Linked DNA regions of Drosophila melanogaster. The protein of the gene in region 2 interacts with the protein of the main gene of each other region in a pairwise test. Each region holds a gene or a part of one and is shown on either strand. Other genes may lie near its edges. The genes, in order: CG9961, Pfas and Spx.

Region 1 (6,497 bases), 3.3 Mb from region 2:
CCAGCAACCTCAGCCACAACCCCAAATGGGTCACGTAATGCTGCAGCAGCACCAGGCTCCTCCAGCAGCACAGGCACCTCCAGTTACCGAAATCGCCAACAATCAAGTCCAAGCGGTGGCTGCTGCACCTGCTCCGCCGCAAAACGAACCGGGACCCGCGCCCGTTAAAGCTGAGGAGCCGGCTACGGCGGAACTGATTAGCTTTGATTAATCCAAGAGATGTTATTCCATTTGTATTACCCTTCAGGGCTGGGTCAGAAAGTTCTCGTGCGGCTGTTAAGCGAAAAAATGTATGTTTTGTTTAGTTGAACGCGGTTATTAGTTACTATTTCAAAAGTTTTTGTTGCGAGAAAGAGGAACATGATAAATTTTAAGTTTAGACCAAATCTATGGAGGTAAAAAGATAGTTGGAAAGTAGTGCTGCACGAGATCGAGGCCCGCCCTTTTATCACGTTTTAACCGACTAATGTTATTCCACAATAAAAATAACTTTGTATTTTGAGAGACTGATTGTTTAAATTGTCCAAATTGAATTTAAGATACATGTACATATAAGTGGAATAACCATTGTAAAGCAGTGCGTTTAGGCATCCGAAAGAGCAGCCACTCCAGGCAGAACCTTACCCTCCAGCAACTCCAGGGAAGCTCCTCCACCGGTGGACACATGCGAGACCTTGTCGGCGCCTCCGAACTTCAAGCAAGCGGTGGCCGTATCCCCACCACCAACGATTGTGGTGGCTCCTCGGTTAGTGGCCCCGATTACTGCCTCCAGCATGGACTCGGTGCCTTTGGAGAATAGCTCGTTTTCGAACAAGCCTGGCGGTCCGTTCCAGACGATGGTTTTGGATGCACAAATAGCGCCAGCAAACATCTGACTGGATGCCTGGCCGTGGTCCAGACCCATCATGTCCTCCGGTATGCCCTGTGTGGCATCCACATGTTCCACTTTATCCGGCTCCTTGTCGATCTTATTGGCTATGACAAAGTCAATCGGAAATAGTATATTCACGTCCTTCTCCTTCGCCTTGCAGACTATGTCGTTGACCAACTCGGATCCCTTCTCGTCGAAGAGGGACTTTCCAATCTCCATGCCATTGAGCACTTTGAGAAAGGTGAAGGCCATGCCACCGGATATGATCATGGCCGTTACATTGTTCAGGAGGTTCGTTATCAGTGGAATTTTATCGGCTATCTTGGCGCCACCCAGAATGGCCAAAAAGGGCTTGGCCGGATCGTGGAGAACCTTGGCAAAGTACTCCAGTTCCTTGTCCAGCAGGAAACCAGCCGCTCGCACCTTGTAGCCATCGCCCATCATGGAACTATGCGGACGATGTGCTGTTCCAAAGGCATCGTTCACATAGATCTCGCCCAGCTGCGCCAACTTGGCTCGGAATTCCTTCACCTTCGCGGGATCTGCTTTGACCTTCTTCTTGTTATCGTCCTTGCTGCTGCCCGTCTCCTCGGCATAGAAACGAAGATTCTCCAACAGGAACACAGTGCCGTCGGAGGGATCCTTCAAAGCTCTCAGGGTGCTATCACCCACGCAGTCGTCCAGGAATTGAACCGGCTGGCCCAGCACACTCTCCAGCTCCTTGGCCACGGGTTCCAGGCTAAACTTTTTGTTCTTTTTGCCATCCGGACGCCCCAAGTGGGATGCCAAAACCTAGGCAAAAAATTAAGTTATTCGTTCTATACTTTTTAGGAATTGAAGGAAGATATATCAACTCACCAAGGACTTACATTTCTTGTCCAAGGCATATTTAATACTGGGAAGTGCGGAAACAATTCGTTGGTTGTTGGTTATTTTGCCATCTTTCATGGGTACATTAAAGTCCACTCTAAAAATAAATTTATAAATCACACACTAAAACATATCTGGCAAGGATACTCACCTCATAAAAACCCTTTTCCCAGCCACATCTACATTTTTTAAGCTCAACTTCTTTACTTGCTTTCCATTGCAATCGTCTTTGCTAAAAAATCTTGGAAATCTTAATTTTGTAAATCGAGTTTGAGCTCTTTGGTATAAACTCTGCCGAATTGGAAGCATATTAAATAAATTTATTACCTGTTTTTGACTGAAAATACAATGCACGATGAGGAAGTAATTATGAAAATAAGTAACTAAATTAACTATTTTCAATAATTTTCGAAAAAGTAAAAGAAAAATGTAACCCTATGGCAACACCAAGTTAAATTACTTCACCACGATCTGGCAGCCCGGGCGAACATATGATTTTGTTGAAAACAACAGAAAAGGAGGGAAAATCTGGAATTGTTTGTAATTTGTTTGTTTTGCTGTTAAAACGCAAATCAAACCCAAGATGGGTGGCGGAGATCTAGTAAGTAATGTCTCCCAACTGATTATCCGTCAATTACCATTGATTTTTCCCGCAGAATCTGAAGAAATCATGGCATCCGCACACGATGAAAAACCAGGAGCGCGTTTGGAAGGCGGAGGAGCAAGCGAAGATGGAGGAGCGCAAGCTGCAGGATCTGCGCAAGGAGATCAACGAGGAGCGGGACAGAGAGGAACTAAGGCGATTGGGCGAAAGTTCCGGAGTGCTGAGCAATAATGGCGGAGCCGCCGGCGAGGCCAAGCTGGAGTGGATGTACAAAAGTGAGTCATACATGTGAAACTCTTATAAAACTCATTATCCATACATATTTATCTTGCTCCAGACAGCACAGAGCTGATCAACCGCGAGGAGTACCTCCTGGGCCGTAAGATCGACAAGTCCTTTGAGACGCTGCAAGCGGAGGAAAGCCGCCAGGAGCAGAACACAGTGGGTCTCAAGCAAACGATCAACCATGTGGAGCACGACTGTGTGCCCTTCTCCATCCGGACCTACCGCAATGTGCAGTCCAACGAACAGGTGGACATACAGCGCAAGACCCTCGAGGATCCCCTGATGCTCATCAAGCAGCGCGAAATGGAATCCCGTCGAAAGCTGCTTGAGAACCCCGTCAAGCTGAAGGAAATCCATCGCATTCTCAAGACTGAACAGGAACAAAAGGCCGCAGAGGGAAAGAAGAAGAACAAGAAGAACAAAAAGTCTAAGAAATCCAAAAAGAAGAAGAAGAACCGACGATCCAGCAATGAGGAAAGTAGTGACAGCGAGAGCAATGATAGCGACGATGACTTGGACAGAAAATTAGCCCGCCAAGTGAGCAAACTCAAGGGAGACCAAGGTGACCTTAAACTGGACAAGCTGCTGGACGCCAAGTACCGCACCATTTCAAATCAATTAGACATGGCCACCAAGAAGAAAAAGAGCAAGAAATCCAAGAAGAAGAAAAGCAGCGATAGCAGTGACGAAAGTAGTGACGAAGAGGAAGAGCCAAGGAGAAAGCACAAAAGGAGCCACAGCTCAGAGGACAGAAATCAGCGAGAAAGACGCAGGAGTAGAAGCCCCCGGGATAGAAAAAAGCGACAGAGTAGAAGTCCGGAACAAAGGCAAAGGCAAAGGAGTCCAGAAGAGAGAAGGGAAAGGCGCAGGAGCAGGAGCAGAAGTCCCTTAGCGAGAAGACAGAGAAGAACCAGGAGCCCAGAGGACAGAAAAGCCAGACGTCAAAGCAAGGACACTTCAAAGCAGCGCGAGAAACGCAGGAGTAGGACACCTGAAGAGCGTTCCAGATCAAAACGCAGCAGGAGCCGAAGTTCCAAAGGAGATGACAAGCGAAGGATTGCCGAAAGACCGCCTCCCAGCCGTCCCACCGGCAAGCCAAAGTTAAGCGAAGCCGACCGAGAAGCTCGCCTGCGCGAAATGATGGACAACGCCACTTGGAGAGAAGCGGATCGCAGCCAGGTGGTTCGCAAGCACCGAGAAGCATACGCGCGCGAGGAGGCCCAAAATCGTGAACGAGACTTCGACAAGGAGTTCATTAACAAGGAGGTGAAGAAGGCCATTGCCAACCATAACTCAATTGGCGATCGCATCCGGGCCAATCTCAACAACATACAGCGCACCGCCTCCTCAATGGACAGCAACTTTGCCCGCAAATAAACTAGGATTCCTTTATTTCGTATGCATTATATGGTTCCGCAACAAATAGATTCAACACTTTTTAACGTCGTGGTTTGTGCTTACAAGGTAAACGATGCGATTAACATTAATATACCGTATATATGTACGCTTAGGCGCTGGTCAATGCAGCCACGCCTGGCAGTGTCTTGCCCTCCAGGAGCTCCAGCGAAGCGCCGCCTCCGGTGGAGACGTGCGAGACGAGTGCCTCCGTGTTCCACTTGGCGCAGCAAGAGGCAGTGTCGCCGCCGCCGATGATGGAGACGGTGCCGTTCTTGGTGGCGGCCACCACGCCGTCCATGATGGACTTGGTGCCGTTGGCGAAGTTGGGGAACTCAAAGACACCGGGGGGTCTAAAATGGGAAAACCATTATAGGACATTTGGAGAAGTAGCTTCAGTGTGACACCTACCCGTTCCACACGATGAGCTTGGCGCGTGCGATGGGTGCCGCGAAGAGCTCACGGGTCTTGGGACCCACATCCAGACCCATGTGTCCATCGGGAATTCCGGCCTCCACGGTGGCCTCGCTGACGGCAGCGTTCTCGGCGAACTTGTCGCCGCAGACAAAGTCCACTGGCAGATGCAACTGCACGTTATTCTTCTTGGCCTTCTCCACCAGTTTCTCGACGATCTTGGAGCCCTCCTCGTCGAACAGGGAACCGCCGATCTTCATGTTGTTGAGGACCTTCAGGAAGGTGAAGGCCATGCCGCCACCGATGATCATCTCGTTGACCTTGTCCAGAAGGTTCTCAATCAGCTGGATCTTGTCGGCCACCTTGGCGCCACCGAGAATTGCCAGGAAGGGATTTGGTGGCTTGTCCAGGGCCTGCGAGAAGTACTTCAGCTCCTTGTTCAGCAACAGACCAGCTGCGCGCTGCTCGAAGCCATCGCCCATCATGGAACTGTGGGCGCGATGGGCAGTGCCGAAGGCGTCGTTGACATAGACATCGCCCAGCTTGGCCAGGCTGGCACGGAACTCCTTGACCTTGGCAGGATCGGCCTTGACCTTGCCGCCGCTGGCATCCAAGCCCTTGCCCTCCTCCTCCACGTAGAAGCGGACGTTCTCCAGCAGAATGACGGATCCCGGTGCGGGATCCTTGCAAGCGGCCTCCACTTCGCTGCCGACGCAGTCACTTAGGAAGATCACATCCTGGCCAAGCAGGGTCTTCAGCTCAGCGGCCACGGGTGCCAGGGTGTACTTGATGTTCTTGTTGCCATCGGGACGACCCAAGTGGGACATCAGCACCACCGACTTGGCTTTCTTGGAAAGGGCCAACTTGATACTATCCAAGGCAGCGACAATTCTCTGGTTGCTGGTGATCTTGCCCTCCTTGATGGGCACATTGAAGTCGACGCTGCAAAGAAGCACGGGCAATGTTTATGCAACTGAATTTCACGCGAGGATTGGCTTTGGATTACCGCATCAACACCCGCTTGCCCGCCAAGTCCAGGTTTTCGATGCTCAGCTTATTGAAGGCCATCTTTGGATTTTTCTGGATTTTCTGGATACTTCCTGTGCGTGCTAGCAAACTCCGGATTGCGATACCACTGATTCCGCGAATCTTCTTCGTCCTCAACTGCTGTGCGGCAATGTCAGCGCAAGGTCATTTTGTCGGTGAGCTGCTAGGGTTGCATCTCCACTTCCAGGGCGTCAATCCGTGGCAAGCGGTTTTCCGCCGATTGGTAGGTGCCATGCGCAGGATCCAGCTGGGTATACTCCTATTTTGGAGTCCGAAGTTGGTATCGGATTGTATTCTCGTTCGAAAGTTGGATAAAAGTTGTACTCTCCAAATGCAACTCTGTATTTGGCGCCCAAGCAGTGTTGGTAAGTGCTGTCAGCACAGTGCTGTGAAGCATCCGTTCCAAGGGTGTCGAAAAGGGGCCACACAATTCTAAAATTTAAAAATCTATTATTTAAAATATCATTATTTTCATAATATTTAAATATTGTCCATAGATAATCATATGCTAAAAATTAACAAAATAAATGTCTGCATATTCTGACTAGATCATTTAATTGATCATTTGCTATTTACAGTATACAATTTTTTTTATATTAACTTAAATAGAAACCGTTCATATAATATTTTCACTTAAATACATATAAAAATTATTTTTTTTAATAAATTTTTTATAATAAATTTTAACCCCTTAGAACTTTTTTCTTCCACACCCTTGAATGTCTGTTAAATTTTAACTGAAAGTCCGAATTAGTGATTTTTTATAAAAATTTATAATTAATTTATAAAAATAATAAAAAAAAAATTTAATAAATAATAATAATCTACGACGTACATACATATGTCCATACCGTATGTAACAGCCGCCCCTTTGATGTTTGTATGTCAATATGTAATTATTGAATAAATGATTTCTGTTGAGGCCAACAAAGTCAAATCACACAATCTTTCTCGGTGGCCGTTGTTTTATTTTGACTGTGCAAACGGATTCCGCTTATGATGCCATGATGA
Region 2 (9,729 bases):
TAGAAGAGCAGGTTGCCTTTCAGCACGAAGTAGCGTCGCTGGAAGGCCTTGTTGACCTCGCCCCGTTTGTTGAGGAAGCCTGCAAGGCGTATCGGTGTGTGATAAATGGATTATGATTATTAATAGACGAGCGAAAGGGCTCGCTTGCATACCTTCCATGTCGAAGGGCGGCGTTCTCGCGAACACGTACAGGTTCTTCTCGTTGATCTTCATGGCTGCACTGTCTCGGGCTGCATTCGAAGCAAATATGGGTGTCCTATTTCCGCCTTTCGTCTCTTATTATTGTGATGAACAGGTAAAAAAAATGCAAAGCGAGAAACAATTGACGCTGCGCGAACAGCTGATGGCCAGTGCTGCCACACCTCCACCGGTTATCGATTGCTGGGTGCGGAATTTCTAGTTTTCAATGTAGATTGCAAACATAAACGAATTTTGAATCCTGCGAAATGTCGTACTTACTCACGGAAATCGCGCTGGAGATGCTGGGCTACAAGTTCTACGACACCAATGGCACATTCCACCTGACCAATTTTCAAAACAACTCCACGCTCAGCGAAACGCATCCCGATGAGCCCTCCCTGCAGGAATTCATTGAGTACACAAATGAGGAGCTGAAGCAAGACGCGCAACAGCAGGAGCCGCACACGCTGGCGGTGCAGGAGGAGTCGTACCTGGATGCCCCCACCATACCCGAGTCACGCTATGCGCGGCGCACGCCGGCCAAGGCGCTGGCCAAGATAATGGACTACGAGAGCGAGAAGATAGTCAACCAGATCAGCACTCGTCTGGAGGGCTCGGTGTCACGTCGGGCGGCGGCGGACAGTGACGAGCAGCTGGCCGAGATCATCAACGAGGAGAGGAAACTAATCGAGGCGGATGCCGAGGTAATACACAACTTTCGGGAGCTCGTGGAGAGCCGACTACAGCGATTGGATAAACGGCCCTACGAGAAATACGTACGTACCTTCGGGCCGCAATAGGAAGCTGCACGTGCAATGTCAAAGTGCCGCCATTACTTTTAGAATTAATTTAGTTTATAAATTTAATAAATAAGTTACCGCTACAGGGTGCCTGCGGCACTTTCATTTTCTCTTACTGCGCCAGTGTGACCACCCTAGCCCATGCACTGGCCAGCGATAGCCCCATCTATCGGAGCCACTGTCATCTCTAGCAGCACAGCACGAGTAAAGGTCAGCTCTCGTAACTTGTCTCGGAAATATTCAATAATTCCGAGATTGCCGTCAAAATTCGAGTCGTGTACTTCAGCTAACGCTCCCCCTGTTTAATTCCGTTCCGTCTGCCCCCGCAGGCTCAGCTCAGCCCGCATCTCGGCTGCCAATTAAGGATATAAAGCCCTCCCCGGACGGTGACGACAACGGCGCTTGCATAATGAAAATCTGGACATCGGAGCACATATTCAACCACCCGTGGGAGACGGTCACGCAGGCGGCGTGGCGCAAGTACCCCAATCCGATGACGCCCTCCATCATTGGCACGGACGTGGTCGAGCGCCGTGTGGTGGACGGCGTCCTGCACACGCATCGCCTGGTGCAGTCCAAGTGGTACTTCCCCAAGTGGACGCACGCGCTGATCGGCACGGCCAAAACTTGTTTCGCCAGCGAACGCTCCACGGTGGACCCGGAGCGCAAACAGATGGTGCTGAAGACAAACAACCTCACCTTCTGCCGCAACATCAGCGTGGACGAGGTGCTCTACTATGAGCCGCATCCGTCGGATGCCAGCAAGACGCTGCTCAAGCAGGAGGCCACCGTGACCGTCTTTGGTGTGCCGCTGTCCCACTACATGGAGGACCTGCTCACCTCGACCATTAGCACAAATGCCGGCAAGGGACGCCAGGGCCTGGAGTGGGTGATCGGGCTGATCAACACGGAGGTCAAGGGCATCGCTCGCGGCACCGACGAACTTCTGCACAACACACGGCGCTCCATCGACGAGGTGACGGAGAGCGCGCGGAAGAGCATGGACGAGATCAGTGCGCAGGCCGCCAAGGCGGCGAAGGCGATGCACATTACGTAGGTGTCGACAAGGCGACAGTGCAAGGTCGCGCGGGGGCTGTTCACTAGTGAATTATTTAGATGGCGCGCGGTCGTCGTTTTAGTACAACTAATTAATCGATGGCACGATGGACATGGACAGCAACATGTGGGACAGCAACACCTTCCTCTATTCTCAAGCCATTCAATGCATATATTTTATAATTATTACTCCCCTTCGAACGAATCGACTGCTAATGAGTCATGTCGATAAAGAAGTGCCCCCGAATGGCTGAACTGGAAGGAACTCGCGCTAATGCTGGCCCCCATTCATGCAGATCAATATATATATAAACCTAAAGTACATAGTCAATGTAAGCTTTGTAAGCCGCCGCAGATTTCGAAGAACGAGAGGAGCAATTAAACGACATATTTGCCTACGACCAGCCAGTGTCAAGTTCAATTGTTTAATTTTAATTCGCAGCACACTTGTACTGCGTCTTTTTTTTTTGCATTTGCATGACGTTCGCATGTGCAACTGCAGCAATTTTAAGCATTCTGTGTATAAATAAAACCCAAGAAAGTCGATTTGTGGGTTTTTTCTCTACATACATACTTGATTAGCGATTTTTGGCGTCTGTTTTATTCGCTTATCATCAAAAGCCCACGTGCCTAGTGGCTCAACAACTGTGTACCTAGTTAGCATCGCAGACATGGAAACTGATATGTCCCTTATCTGGTTCAACAGTTGCGAAGAATGTGATTGAAGGGGAAAGTGGGTGCTTGGAAACAAGTTGATGATCAAACAGCAGGTGTTCTAGGGACAAGGTGAAATACTTTTACCTAACTTATCAAAAGAAGTAACTTATTTATTTAGCAGTTTTCGTAAGCTTTTAATCAAAATAAACAAGTAATCCTTACGAATTACAATTAAACTATTTGGTTCATTGAACCCGTGTAGCATTAACCCTTGCAAGTTACGCAATGGGTACAATTTACGAAAGCTTTTAAAGCTCAATTCGCCTAAGGGTTAATTTGAATTCCAGCGGCAGTCGCTGTGCAGCACTGGCCAACCGAACGCTGTGGTGGATTGAGCCGCGAAATGAGGGGAAACCGAGCTGGAGCCTCAAAACGATCGTAATTTGCAGCTAAGACGCACGTGTGCTCCGCTCAGTGTTAGTGTTATTGTGCTTCAATTTGGGGTATTTGGCGTTAATTATTTACCTAAATTCCGACCATTCAGCAACGCAGGTTTCCGTTCGTAATGGAAAATATGTTTACGCCGGCTTATCAGCAAACTCCCAGCCGGGGAAAAACAAAAACAAGTTGTGACGCCAGTGCAGCGATTGCTGCAGGCGATTCCATCGATTTCGCTCGGCTGTAACCTGATCCGCTGCTGTGGGTTGTGGGCTGTGTGGCTGTGGTATAGGTGCCGCCAGTTGATAACCCCCAGCGTGGGCACGGACCCACTGGTCGTCAACCGCTTCGCAACTCCCAAGATCATTCTCGATTCGACGAGCAAGGAGTGCACACTGTCTGTACTCAATCCGCATTTTTCGTTTCTTGCAGCCCCACGACATGGTCATCCTTCGCTACTACGATGTGCAGGCCCACTCCGCGGCCGAGGAGGAGAGTGTCCTGCGTCGGTTGCGCGAGGAAGACGGCGCCGTGGTGTCCGTGCGCATGGAGCGCTGCTATCATCTGGAGTACAGCGCTCAGGCAGAGCACTCACTGGCCCTGGACGAGCTGCTGGTGTGGCTGGTCAAGCAACCGCTGAGCAAAGGCCAGAGCTTGTCCAGGCAACCTGCCCTGCAGTCAACTGGGTCGAGTCAGTTGCTCCTGGAGATCGGGCCGCGTTTTAACTTCTCCACGCCGTACTCCACGAACTGCGTGAACATATTCCAGAATCTCGGGTACTCAGAGGTGCGTCGCATGGAAACCTCCACCCGCTATCTGGTTACTTTTGGCGAGGGATCAAAGGCGCCGGAGGCAGCCAGGTTTGTTCCTCTGCTCGGTGACCGCATGACCCAGTGCTTGTACACCGAGGAGAATACCCCCAAGGCGAGCTTTGACGAGCAGCTACCTGAGCGCCAGGCCAACTGGCATTTCGTGCCCGTTTTGGAGGAGGGTAGGGCGGCACTGGAGCGGATTAATCAGGAGCTGGGCTTAGCCTTCAACGACTACGATTTGGACTACTACCACGACTTGTTTGCCAAGGAGCTGGGCCGCAATCCCACCACTGTGGAGCTCTTCGATTGCGCCCAGAGCAACAGTGAGCACTCGCGCCACTGGTTTTTCCGCGGACGTATGGTGATCGACGGCGTGGAGCAGCCCAAGTCGCTGATTCGCATGATCATGGACACGCAGGCCCACACGAACCCGAACAACACCATTAAGTTCAGCGACAACAGCAGTGCCATGGTGGGATTCGATCACCAGACCATAGTTCCGTCCTCCGTGGTCGCTCCCGGCGCAGTGCGTCTGCAGAGCGTGCAGTCTGACCTGATTTTCACGGCGGAGACCCACAACATGCCCACTGCAGTGGCGCCTTTCAGCGGAGCCACCACCGGCACTGGCGGACGACTGCGTGATGTCCAGGGCGTGGGCAGAGGAGGCGTGCCGATCGCCGGCACCGCTGGCTACTGTGTTGGCGCTCTTCACATTCCAGGTGAGCATTGCTTTTTTTTTGAGTATTTAGTTCCTATTAGTTTTTATTATACATCACGACTTTCTTGTCGTCGCAGGTTACAAACAGCCGTACGAGCCTTTGGACTTTAAATACCCTGCGACGTTTGCGCCCCCACTTCAGGTGCTCATTGAGGCGAGCAATGGCGCCTCCGACTACGGAAATAAGTTCGGCGAGCCAGTGATCTCTGGTTTTGCCCTCTCCTATGGACTGAACAGTGCTGCCGATGCCAGCCAGCGGGATGAGTACGTGAAACCGATCATGTTCAGCGGTGGCTTGGGCACCATGCCCGCTACCATGCGCGAGAAGCTGCCGCCGGCACGCGGTCAGTTGCTGGCCAAGATCGGGGGCCCAGTGTACAGGATTGGAGTGGGTGGCGGCGCCGCAAGCTCTGTGGAGATACAAGGATCCGGAGATGCTGAGCTAGATTTTAATGCCGTACAGCGAGGAGACGCCGAAATGGAGAATAAATTGAACCGTGTGGTGCGAGCCTGTCTAGACCTGGGCGAGCAAAACCCCATATTAGCCATCCATGACCAGGGGGCTGGCGGCAACGGCAATGTCCTCAAGGAGCTAGTGGAACCAGGCTTTGCCGGAGCTGTTATCTTCTCCAAGGAGTTCCAACTCGGCGATCCCACGATCACTGCCCTCGAACTGTGGGGTGCCGAGTACCAGGAAAACAATGCCATTCTTTGCAACGCTGATCAACGCGAACTGCTGGAAAAGATCTGCCGCCGTGAACGCTGTCCCATCAGCTTCGTGGGAGTGGTGACCGGAGATGGGCGAGTAACGCTGCTGGAGAAGCCTGCCCCCAAGGATCTGGAACAGGCGTTGAATGCGTCCAATCGCAGCGAAGTCTCACCGTTCGACTTGGAACTTAAGTACGTTTTGGGCGACATGCCCAAGAGAACGTACGACTTGAAACGCGAACAGACGCCGCTCAAGGAGTTGAGTCTGCCGAAAGGTCTCCTTCTGGACGAGGCCTTGGAGAGAGTTCTTAGCTTGGTGGCAGTCGGTAGCAAGCGCTTCCTGACCAACAAGGTGGATCGCTGCGTCGGTGGATTGATTGCACAGCAACAGTGCGTGGGACCGCTCCAAGCTCCACTAGCGGACTACGCGTTAACCACCGTCTCCCACTTTAGTCACTCTGGAATCGCCACTTCAATTGGTACACAGCCACTAAAAGGACTGCTTGATCCCGCCGCAATGGCCAGGATGTGTGTGGCTGAAGCGTTGAGTAACCTTGTGTTTGTAAAGATCAGCGAACTGGCTGATGTCAAGTGCTCTGGCAACTGGATGTGGGCTGCAAAGCTGCCCGGCGAGGGTGCCCGGATGTTCGACGCCTGCAAGGAGCTCTGTCAGATTCTTGAGGAACTTCACATCGCCATCGATGGCGGAAAGGACTCCCTGTCCATGGCGGCTAAGGTGGGCGGTGAGACAATAAAGTCCCCGGGTACTCTTGTCATCTCCACCTATGCTCCCTGTCCGGATGTGCGGCTAAAGGTAACGCCTGATCTTAAAGGACCCGGCGCGGGGTCGAAGACTTCCCTGCTCTGGATAAATCTGGAGAACAGCGCTCGCCTAGGTGGATCGGCTCTGGCTCAGGCATACGCGCAGCAGGGCAAAGATACGCCAAACTTGACAAGGAGTGATGTGCTGGGCAAAGCATTTGCTGTGACTCAATCGTTGTTGGGAGATGGACTTATTCAAGCAGGACACGATGTCAGCGACGGAGGATTGCTTGTTTGCGTATTGGAGATGGCCATCGGAGGACTGAGTGGCCTTAGAGTGGATCTATCGGAGCCCTTGGCCAAGCTCAAGAACTTCGATAAGTCTGTCGAGAAACTTAATCGTCCCGAACTAGCTGTTCTCTTCGCCGAGGAGTGTGGATGGGTGGTGGAAGTCCTGGACACAGACCTGGAACGAGTTCGATCTACCTACGAAAAGGCAGGAGTACCAAACTACTATTTGGGCGTGACCGAGGGATTCGGACTGGATTCCAGAGTGGTACTCAAGAACGGCAAGTCAGAGCTGCTGGACCAGCCACTCCGTGTGCTCTACAAGAAATGGGAGAGAACCAGTTACGAGCTGGAAAAGCTTCAGGCCAACCCTGAGTGCGCCGAGGCAGAGTACAATAGCCTTGAGTATCGCCAAGCACCTCAGTATAGGGGACCTCAGAATGTGCAGGCCGAGCTTACTCTCAAGCGATCCTCCGCCCCAGTTCGCGTGGCCGTGCTCCGTGAGGAGGGTGTCAATAGTGAGCGCGAGATGATGGCCTGCCTGCTGAGGGCTAACTTCGAGGTGCACGATGTGACCATGTCGGATCTTCTTCAAGGTAAACTCAATGGTAAATTCTAATAAAGGGGGAAGTACTAAAGCAAATAATTTAATATTTCAGGCACCGCAAGCGTGTCCCAATACCGCGGACTAATTTTCCCGGGCGGCTTCAGCTATGCGGACACTTTGGGATCCGCCAAGGGCTGGGCAGCAAACATCCTCCACAATCCCCGCTTGTTGCCTCAGTTTGAGGCTTTCAAGCGTCGTCAAGATGTGTTCTCCTTGGGCATTTGCAATGGTTGCCAGCTGATGACACTTATAGGATTTGTTGGCAGTGCAAAGAGCGAGGTGGGCGCAGATCCCGACGTGGCCCTGCTCCATAACAAATCGCAGCGGTTCGAGTGTCGTTGGGCCACCGTGAAGATTCCAAGCAATCGCTCCATCATGCTCGGAAGTATGAAGGATCTGGTTCTTGGCTGTTGGGTGGCTCACGGCGAAGGTCGCTTTGCATTCCGCGACGAGAAGCTCATTAGCCACTTGCAGTCGGAACAGCTGGTGACATTGCAATATGTTGATGATGTAGGCAAACCGACGGAACTGTATCCACTTAACCCGAACGGTAGTCCTCAGGGAATTGCTGGCCTTTGCTCGTCGGATGGACGTCACTTGGCCCTCATGCCACATCCCGAGCGATGCTCCTCCATGTACCAGTGGCCCTATGTGCCATCTTCATTCGAAGTTTCCCCCACACAATCGGAAAGTCCTTGGCAGATTATGTTTAACAACGCGTACAATTGGTGTGTCAAGTCGAATCAATAGATATTCTAGATGAATTGAAAGCAGTTAAATAGGTTCTTGGCATTTATGACCTGATATATCTAAATACTATATACACGAATTTGTTTACTATTTTTATAAAATAAACTTAAACACTCAAACAACTTTAAAACTCAAATAAGCGTACTTATGAGTAATGTCGTCGCAACGAATAGAAATGAAAGCTAATGTGAAATTTGTAACAAGCATTTAAGGTAGTTGGCCTTGGCTGTTGATGACGCCATATACTTGGAGTTCCAGTCGTGCTCGTTGATCTGCATCACTTTGTAGCCCATCATCTCTAGATGTCGCATCTTCAAAGATTCAGGACCCCGCAATGCAGTCAGATCGTTTTCACAAAAAGAGTCGAGCTTGAGCAGTAGTATTGCCACTCTGAAATTGGAGTCATTAATGAAGTACCTGAATAAGGTAACTTCCATTTGTGTGCCTACTTGGTTATGCGATCCAACATGGTTGCCTCCACGGGAGGTGCTGGGATGGGATTTTTATCCCGATCGAAATGTATCACAAAGTCTATTTGGTAGCCGTAGGGTGTAGTGTGGTTGCAGCGGAAATGCTTGTCATTTTGAAGAAGCTGATGCAGCAGCTGCTTCACCTCTGTTGTGGACTCACTGGGTATTAAGGATTCTAAAAAGATAATATGATAAAGAACGCCTAATACAGAATTGTAGTTATATGTTACTTTTGCTGATCTGCGCCTCGATGTAGTTTTGTTGAAACCAGGGCACATTCGCCTCGGGAAAGTCCAGGCATACTGTGCGATTCAGTTGCATAACCAGGTTAAGGACCCTCTCCGGATACGTTGCTTTTGAGTAGCATACTTGTATCTCATCCTCGATTCGCTGAATGAATTTCACGCAGAATACTTGATTGATTAGCTGCTCTGGTATTGATTTGTAAAAGCACAGTGCTAGACAAGCCTGGACAACCGATAAACCGCTCATCTGGTCAAAATCTCTGATGGAAAGATTACATTTTAGATCTGCCTCAAGAAATGTTTATGCCCACCTTAGCAGTACTTCGGAGGCGTGGTTTAGAGCCTCCACGGACGCTGGCATGTAGCCCAAATTATACGAGCAGGTCAACACTTTCTCCACTGTGTCGCCGGAAACGTGATCATGCTGTTCGGAAATGTAGGCGAACATGGACTCCAGGAGCTCGGGAACAAAGAAATTCGAAGCGTTGAAGTTGTAGGCCATGTCCCGAACCACCCGAGAATTGAGATCGTTGCAGTGCAGATTTTTGTACTGCGCCAGGGCCTGGTTGTAAACCACCGTATTCTTTAGCTCTGTAAAGGGATAAAATTGTTTAAATTTGTTTATATTTCAAATGAACCAAAGTTATCAACTTACTCTTGCGATGACTGAGTGTTCTGACAATCATGCTCAATTCGCTGGCATTTAGAGGGTCCTTTTCGGCATCTCTCAAGTGCCTCTCCGCACAACCGATGAGAATGCTGTCCATTGTGGACAGTTGCATGCCAGCTAATGCCGGAAGATGCTGGCGAAACCTTAGTTCGCTGGCTATTTGCATGCCGCGACTGAGGAGAAAGCAATCCTGAATGCCAAGCTGGGGCGCCATTGCGAGCATTTTGCTTAACAAAAAGTTGGGAAATTTCTTCCAGGCCAACGGAGTCTGCCCGTAAGCTAGCACAAAGGATGCAAGTCGTGCGAACTTCGCTGGCAGCCTTCCCGCTATGTCATGCTCAATAGCATTCATGCACATGCGACTTAGCTTTCGTTCCAGTTCTAAGTGACGGTAGGTTCCTCCCAGATTGTTATTAAAGTTCATATAGCGTTGACAGTGTCTCAGGAACCGTAGGTGCAAATGCTTTTCCGGACAGGACTCCAGCTCTTTTACAACTCCTGACCAGTATGTGTTGCAGAATTCAATGTCGGAGACTTTTAGTGCACGCAGAACGCTGAATAAATGTCC
Region 3 (6,661 bases), on a different chromosome or scaffold from region 2:
ATTGGCAACCGAACCCTTGGGCATATACTTGCTCGTCTTGCGCCACACAATATTGGACACGGCTCGCGGATGGGCGATGTACACGTAGGTGAAGTTTAGCTCACCGCCAGAACTTGAGGTGGTACCATCGTCCACTCCGTGGCGACATGATGGCGTGGGTCCGGCATTGGAGGAACCCTTGGCCGGGAATAGAACCTGTTTGTTCTCATACCAGATCTTTACCAGCCGATCGTTGCGTCCGCAGGTGGCAAAGAGCGTTCCATCCGGACTAAATGCCATGTGGTAAATGGGTATGGCCGTTTGGCAACTCCAAATGTTCTCCCACGTGGACACATCCTCCGATTGGGCGTTGCTCGTCTGCTTGGGCTCCTTGCTCTCGCCAATCTCGAACTTGACACCTATTTGAAAAGGTGATACTGATTAGTATCAAGTCATTGACAAAGGAATATCGTCAATGAAAACTTTTTCATTCACAGTGCTCTAATATCAAATAAATAATTATAAATGGAACCAGAAATGGAAACCAGACTAAACAAGAAACCGAGCATATCGCTCTTAATTACAAAGCCAAACAAACGTATGGAGTTATTAGACAAAATACAGTACGAAAGATGAGAACTACAACCTTGCAATTGTTTATAATAGCTCCATAAAATAGGAAAATGGAAAACGGAAACACCCCACTGACGACATCACAAAACGTAAAAAACAAAAACCCATTGCAAGTAATTTGCATTTGTGATTCATCTCCGCCCACGCAAATCGATAGGTGGCCACACAGAGACACATAGAAATGGGGTGTTGGGCAGCTATTGGCTTACCCGTGTGCTCCTCCTCCTGCTGGTGAGTGGGCGACTTGCTCTTCCACAGCTGGATGTTGGTGCCGCCAGTGAGGAGGCGGGTGCCCTCCAGATTCCAGGACAGGGTCACCACGTTCGAGTGGCTGGTGAAGGAGCCCGTTTGCACCCATCTATGGGGGTATGAAAAAATAAGTTAGTATGTCTTTGGGCTTCTTAATACCATCGCTAGCTTACCTGTAATCCAGAAAGTGGGTATTGTGTTTGCTCGACTCAATCACCGGCGTGGGCTCAAAAATGCATATCTTATTCTCATAGGCTGCTGCTATTTTTCCGGTATCGGTGCTGCAGTCCAGGGCGGATATCTTGACATAGCCATGGTTGGCGCCCGGAATGATCTGGACGCGCTCGAAAGTGCTTGCCAGGATGACCACATTGCAGCCGGCGGCGTAGGCCTGATAATAGGAGGGGCGAAATGGGGATTTTGTGAGTACTGCAGTTAATCTAAGCGTTATACGATCGGTATGTGTTTTCTCAGTTATTTGTTTTTGAGTGGCTATGTGTATATAGGGCGGGTGGGTATATAGCTTTATATCGATAACAATACCCCAACTGTCCAGTTAACTGGCTTATCAGGCTGGCTGATGACAAGGCTCTTGCCACATCATGTTTGGTTACCTGGTTAGCTAAAGTGTGTTTGATTTATTTGTTGAGCTGTCGCTGATATGCTCATTATCGTGGCCAGAAATTTGAATACCCTGTTCGAGTGGGCTAGGGAGGGGGTACACTATTTATAGTGGAAACACTATTCATGTTAATTATCTCTAAAACATTACCGCATGACGATCTGTGGCAAAGGATCATTAGTGCGGGTGTAAAGGGTTGAGTCAGCAGGCTTTATCTTTATAATTGGCTCATTGATGCGGGAGATTACAGATACCCCGTTTAGTTACAATAGCGATAAATGGGGAATATCAACAGAGAATCTGTTTGCAATGGCTTATCGCGATATTGGAATGTGAGCCTTATTTAGCTAGTTAATGAATAAAAACATCATTTCATAAAAACAAGGGTATTAACAACTTCGTCACTACACACTACACACCTGCTAACTTTTTGACATAAAAAGGTTCAACTACTCTGCTTTTCTGTCGTGTTTATATTTAGCTTTTTGCTTTCCGGTTTTCCCATTGCTTTAAATGTCAGCTTATGATGGGTTTATGCGTTTAACTGAGAATATTACCCATTAAGTAAACACACCGATGATACTTTTCAATGGAGGGTTTTCCGAACTTTTCGCTTACCAACCCATTAGTGTTCCCGCGGATAAGATTACTTTATATAAAACTTTGTTACCTGCTGAAAATAAACAGTGATTTTTTTACGGTATCCTATTGTAGTATTGCTATACTATTAAAATTTGACTTTAAATGCGGTTTTAATGAGTTTATTATTTTTGGTTTCCCCTTCCAAACGCTAGGTGGCGCCAGGGGAGTGTGTTCGTGCCGATCATATACTAAATAAATATATGCATACACACATACATCCACACATATGCAAACACTCGAAATTAAACAAATTGAAATGATGGCAAATGATATGGCGCAAGGCGGTGGGCAGTGGGTGGGTGTTGGGTGGTTGGTGGTCGGTCTGTGAACGGGGGACTGTGTCAACGGCGGTGCTGATTACAGAATAGAATATAGTAGAATATAGAATATATATATAATGTACACATACGCCCCGTGGGGCCTCTCATTAGAATGGCAAAATGTGCACAGTAGTTAATTATGCTTCCTTGGGTTTTTGCAGGAAAACACAGACCTTGTTCTCTACATCGGATAAACATTCTGAGTAAACATATAGTACACATGTCTCAATGGGTGTAATGTTTATAAACTCGAAGTTGACATAGCGAAGTTTATAGTGAGCTCTTCAACTTTTTCCTGTTACCGTTAAAGGTTTTAGACACGAAAATGGCCAGATTGCTAAGAGTATTTGGTAGTATATAGTATAGGGATCGAATAAGGCACATTATAAATGCGTGCTCACGTTTTTTTATTATGGCCGTTTATAATTCCAATTTGCCATTGACGTGGGTTGGCGAAAGGGGTTGCGGGGCGGGGGGTGCTGCCATAGAGAAAGGGTTCGTGGGAAGGGGAAGGTGGGCAGCCTGCAAGCTGCGAAATTAGGGCATCAAAGGCCACCTGACCAATCGAAGGGTATACACACACACATACTCGCACTTATATATATATACATGCGTATATACTTTCAAGCACACACTCTCACTGCAACTGGCGCATGTGTGTGTGTGTGTGTGCGTGCGGCTTGTTTACTGCCAGCACTTGACCTTAAAAAAATAAAAATGTAATTAATTGCTGGCCAGGTATGTAAATGCAGGTGAAAACAAACATTGTGTTGTATTTGTTGTGCCACACAACATACACACACACACACTCGAGCTGCACACTTTGTTGTTATCGAATTTTTGCACAGCGCCAGCCAGCAAACACGAAAAGTTCTCTATCTCATCATTTGCATTTGATTTTTTAATTGACCACCAAGTGTGGCAAAAAAAAACGATATAAAATTCAACACACATTCACACACACCGCACACACGCACACCACACACACGCAAATATGTAAATAAAAACATTAAAGACGTGCTCCGATCGGTTCTTGTTGGAATGACGACGATGGTGATGATGATGCCCCGTTTCCAATTGGAAACGGTTCAACCTTTTGAACCAAGTGTGCGTGGGGGGGTTGGGGGGCGTGTCCGGCTGGTTGGGCCGATAATGGTGCACATTCCGCCACCGATTTTCACCCAATTCGATCCGGATTCGGATTGGGATGGCTCTGTGCTTACTGTAAATGGTATTCCTTCCACGGAGCCAATGGCGAAGCACCGGTCGCCTGCATTGCAAGCGCCGCTCAAAATCTGATGACAATTCATAATTTACACACAGTTGATTATCACATCACAGCGCACGGATATTGGGGTCTTGGTTCTTTGGTTTCTAGCACGAATTTTCCTTGCTTCTTGTAACAAACGACAACAAAGTGACATTACATAAAAATTAGAGTTGGGTTCTTGGCCAGCGCGGCCAATCGAACTATCGATATTAGGGATGGCACGGCATGGGAGGCGAAATATCGCCTGAGTAATTTAAATACGGTTACTCCAATTAACCGAAAAACTGTTTATCATTTAATTAAAATATTATTATTAAAATATTTCATTTTATTTTCAAAAAATAGAGGTGAATATTTTAACCTATTGAAATTATATTTAATTATTCTGCTTCGTCTATATTTAGTATTTTTTCTAATATCCGTTCGATTTGATTCGATTTCGATATCAATTTCGATTGCCAATAAAAACGAAATCGTGGAATATATATCGATTCATGGTATCGATAGGCTGTTTCGATATTCAGGGTTGTGTTGCGAGCATTTTTGCATGTTGAAAACGCCGAAAATTAGTTTTTGGTTTTGTTTATAAAAATAGCTCCGAAATGGCGGCAGGTCCAATTGCTGAACGCAACCAAGGTGGGTTTGACCTCCACTCCACATTTGCACCACTTGGGAGACGCTTTAACCCGCCTTTTCCGTTCCTTCCACAGATGCCACCATCTATGCCGGCGGTCTTGACGACAAGGTGTCGGAAACGCTGCTTTGGGAGCTGTTTGTCCAGGCAGGACCAGTGGGTAAGTCCCGGACACACATGTATAGTGCCTAGCAGCTCCCTAATCGTCATGCTTGCAGTGAACGTACACATGCCCAAGGATCGTGTCACCCAAATGCACCAGGGCTATGGATTCGTCGAGTTCCTCAGCGAGGAAGACGCCGACTATGGAATAAAGATCATGAACATGATCAAGCTTTACGGCAAGCCCATTCGCGTGAACAAGGCGTCGGCGCATCAGAAGAACCTGGACGTCGGCGCCAACATCTTCATTGGCAACCTAGACGTGGAAGTGGACGAGAAGCTGCTGTACGATACGTTCTCCGCCTTCGGCGTTATACTGCAGACGCCGAAGATCATGCGAGACCCAGAGACGGGCAAGTCTAAGAGCTTTGCGTTCATCAACTTTGCCAGCTTCGAGGCCAGCGATGCGGCCATGGACGCCATGAACGGCCAGTACCTGTGCAACCGTCCCATTTCCGTGTCCTATGCCTTCAAGAAGGATCACAAGGGCGAGCGTCACGGTTCGGCTGCGGAGCGCCTGTTGGCCGCCCAGAATCCATCGACCCATGCAGACCGGCCGCATCAATTGTTCGCCGATGCACCGGTGCAAACCATGATGCCCCAGATGCCGGGCCAGATCCCGGCCCAGATGCCGGGCCAGATGATGCCGCCACCCATGATGGCGCCGCCGCCGCCGGTGGTGCCCGTTTCGAATAACAATATGGGCATGCTAGCACCGCCGCCGCCCGTTCCCCAGCCTGCACCGTTCCCAGCTACGATACCGCCGCCTCCGTTGCCACCGATGACCGGCGGACAGCCGCCGCTGCCGCCAGCAATGGGCATTCCGCCGCCGCCTCGCATGATGCAACCAAATGCATGGGCACCGCCCGGCATGCCTGCTCCTCCGCCCAGACCACCGCCCACCAACTGGCGTCCGCCGCCCGTGCCCTTCCCACCCACGCCCTACGCACGGCCCTATCAACCCGACGGCTACCAGTACTAAGTCTAGCGTGTAGTGTATACCAATTTGGACGAGACGAGAAATAAACATCAATAGGATTCATCAATGAAGCCTGCTCTGGGATATGTTAAGATTTCCATTCTTCTTTCTAATATGCATTTAACAACCGGGAAACCACTGGGAGACATTTAGATCATCATTGTATTTCCATTTAGTAGTCGCAATACAATCTTCGAATTCTTACAAGACGAAATTAAATAACTTTGAATAGAATTTTGAAATGAACGAAATGATTTGATATAAATTGACTCTCGATTCTTGATTTTTTTTTAAACGGAACTATTTTCAATAAACATAAAACGTTTACATTAACAAGTCTGTAAGTTTAATTTGAATGGAACATACGAAGAAAGCGATAATTTTTTTTTGTAATTTAACTAAGTATTTTTAAAGGGCTCCCTCTAATTTAATGTCCAATCCTTTGAAGTTATGTATAGAAACTAGCTTGTAGTTCAAAATAAACTGAGGAATGATTTTCCATTTATTGAAATGAAACTAGGATTCTTTTTTAGCATTCCCAAAATGATGCCGTCCCGCTTTTTTTCGAAACACGTTTGTTTTTTGGTCTTGTAATTTGTTTAGCATAAATTTATTAATATGGGAAACATACAAGTACAGTATTTACAATAGTTTTGACTACTATTCATTTTTTACTCTTCGTCTATTGAATTCTTGCCTAAGCGATTTTGGTTTAGTCCCACTGTGCTAACTTCCATTTCGTTTGGTAAAATAACTTAACTTTAGCTTTACGTTTAAATGGTTATATTTAACGTTATTTTCTCCTTCGTCTCTTTGCTTTTGCTTTTGTTTTTTTTTTTTTTGGTTAAGCAAGACAAACAACAACAAAAAAAAAACTGTGAGGCATATAGTAATAGTAATAGTAATAGTAATAGTTTTAATCAATAACGATGTACAAGCGAATCGTTACGCATCAATTTTCTCGCATTTATTTAAATTTCTTTTGGTTTTCGATTTGTTTCTTTCTTTTTTGTTTACCTTAAAAAAGATGTATATATAAAAAAAAATAATAACATAAAAACATTCTGAACTGGTTTGGTTTTTTTGTATGCGTCTGTGTGCGTGAGTGTGTGTGGTGTGTGTGTTCGTGGTGTGTGCTTTTTTGGGGTGTGTGTGGATTTTGTTTGTTTGC

Evidence for each region.
Region 1: the proteins of Pfas (region 2) and CG9961 interact in a two-hybrid assay, tested with the Drosophila melanogaster proteins (one large-scale study listed by BioGRID).
Region 3: the proteins of Pfas (region 2) and Spx interact in a two-hybrid assay, tested with the Drosophila melanogaster proteins (one large-scale study listed by BioGRID).

The regions. Positions count from the first base shown.
Region 1 is NT_033779.5:2,742,875-2,749,371, forward strand, and holds CG9961 (uncharacterized protein), read right to left. Parts: upstream 2,061-6,497; 5' UTR 2,051-2,060; coding exon 1,893-2,050; intron 1,839-1,892; coding exon 1,730-1,838; intron 1,664-1,729; coding exon 584-1,663; 3' UTR 501-583; downstream 1-500. Other genes in the region: Hrs (hepatocyte growth factor regulated tyrosine kinase substrate), read left to right, coding at 1-211; Cwc25, read left to right, coding at 2,325-2,342, 2,398-2,620, 2,683-4,007; Pgk (phosphoglycerate kinase), read right to left, coding at 4,138-4,378, 4,437-5,381, 5,446-5,507.
Region 2 is NT_033779.5:6,039,361-6,049,089, reverse strand, and holds Pfas (phosphoribosylformylglycinamidine synthase), read left to right. Parts: upstream 1-3,039; 5' UTR 3,040-3,169; exon of another isoform or gene 3,170-3,196; intron 3,197-3,376; exon of another isoform or gene 3,377-3,463; intron 3,464-3,493; exon of another isoform or gene 3,494-3,563; 5' UTR 3,564-3,572; coding exon 3,573-4,662; intron 4,663-4,738; coding exon 4,739-7,015; intron 7,016-7,078; coding exon 7,079-7,776; 3' UTR 7,777-7,909; downstream 7,910-9,729. Other genes in the region: IPIP (inositol phosphatase interacting protein), read right to left, coding at 1-79, 153-213; CG34179 (uncharacterized protein), read left to right, coding at 447-956, 1,310-1,351; slmo (slowmo), read left to right, coding at 1,390-2,037; CG31643 (uncharacterized protein), read right to left, coding at 7,959-8,166, 8,226-8,421, 8,477-8,751, 8,803-9,082, 9,147-9,729. UniProt on the Drosophila melanogaster protein: Phosphoribosylformylglycinamidine synthase involved in the purines biosynthetic pathway. Catalyzes the ATP-dependent conversion of formylglycinamide ribonucleotide (FGAR) and glutamine to yield formylglycinamidine ribonucleotide (FGAM) and glutamate.
Region 3 is NC_004354.4:6,251,594-6,258,254, forward strand, and holds Spx (spliceosomal protein on the X), read left to right. Parts: upstream 1-4,228; 5' UTR 4,229-4,317; coding exon 4,318-4,351; intron 4,352-4,425; coding exon 4,426-4,509; intron 4,510-4,567; coding exon 4,568-5,493; 3' UTR 5,494-6,003; downstream 6,004-6,661. Other genes in the region: Rbcn-3A (Rabconnectin-3A), read right to left, coding at 1-398, 822-970, 1,035-1,252, 3,669-3,755.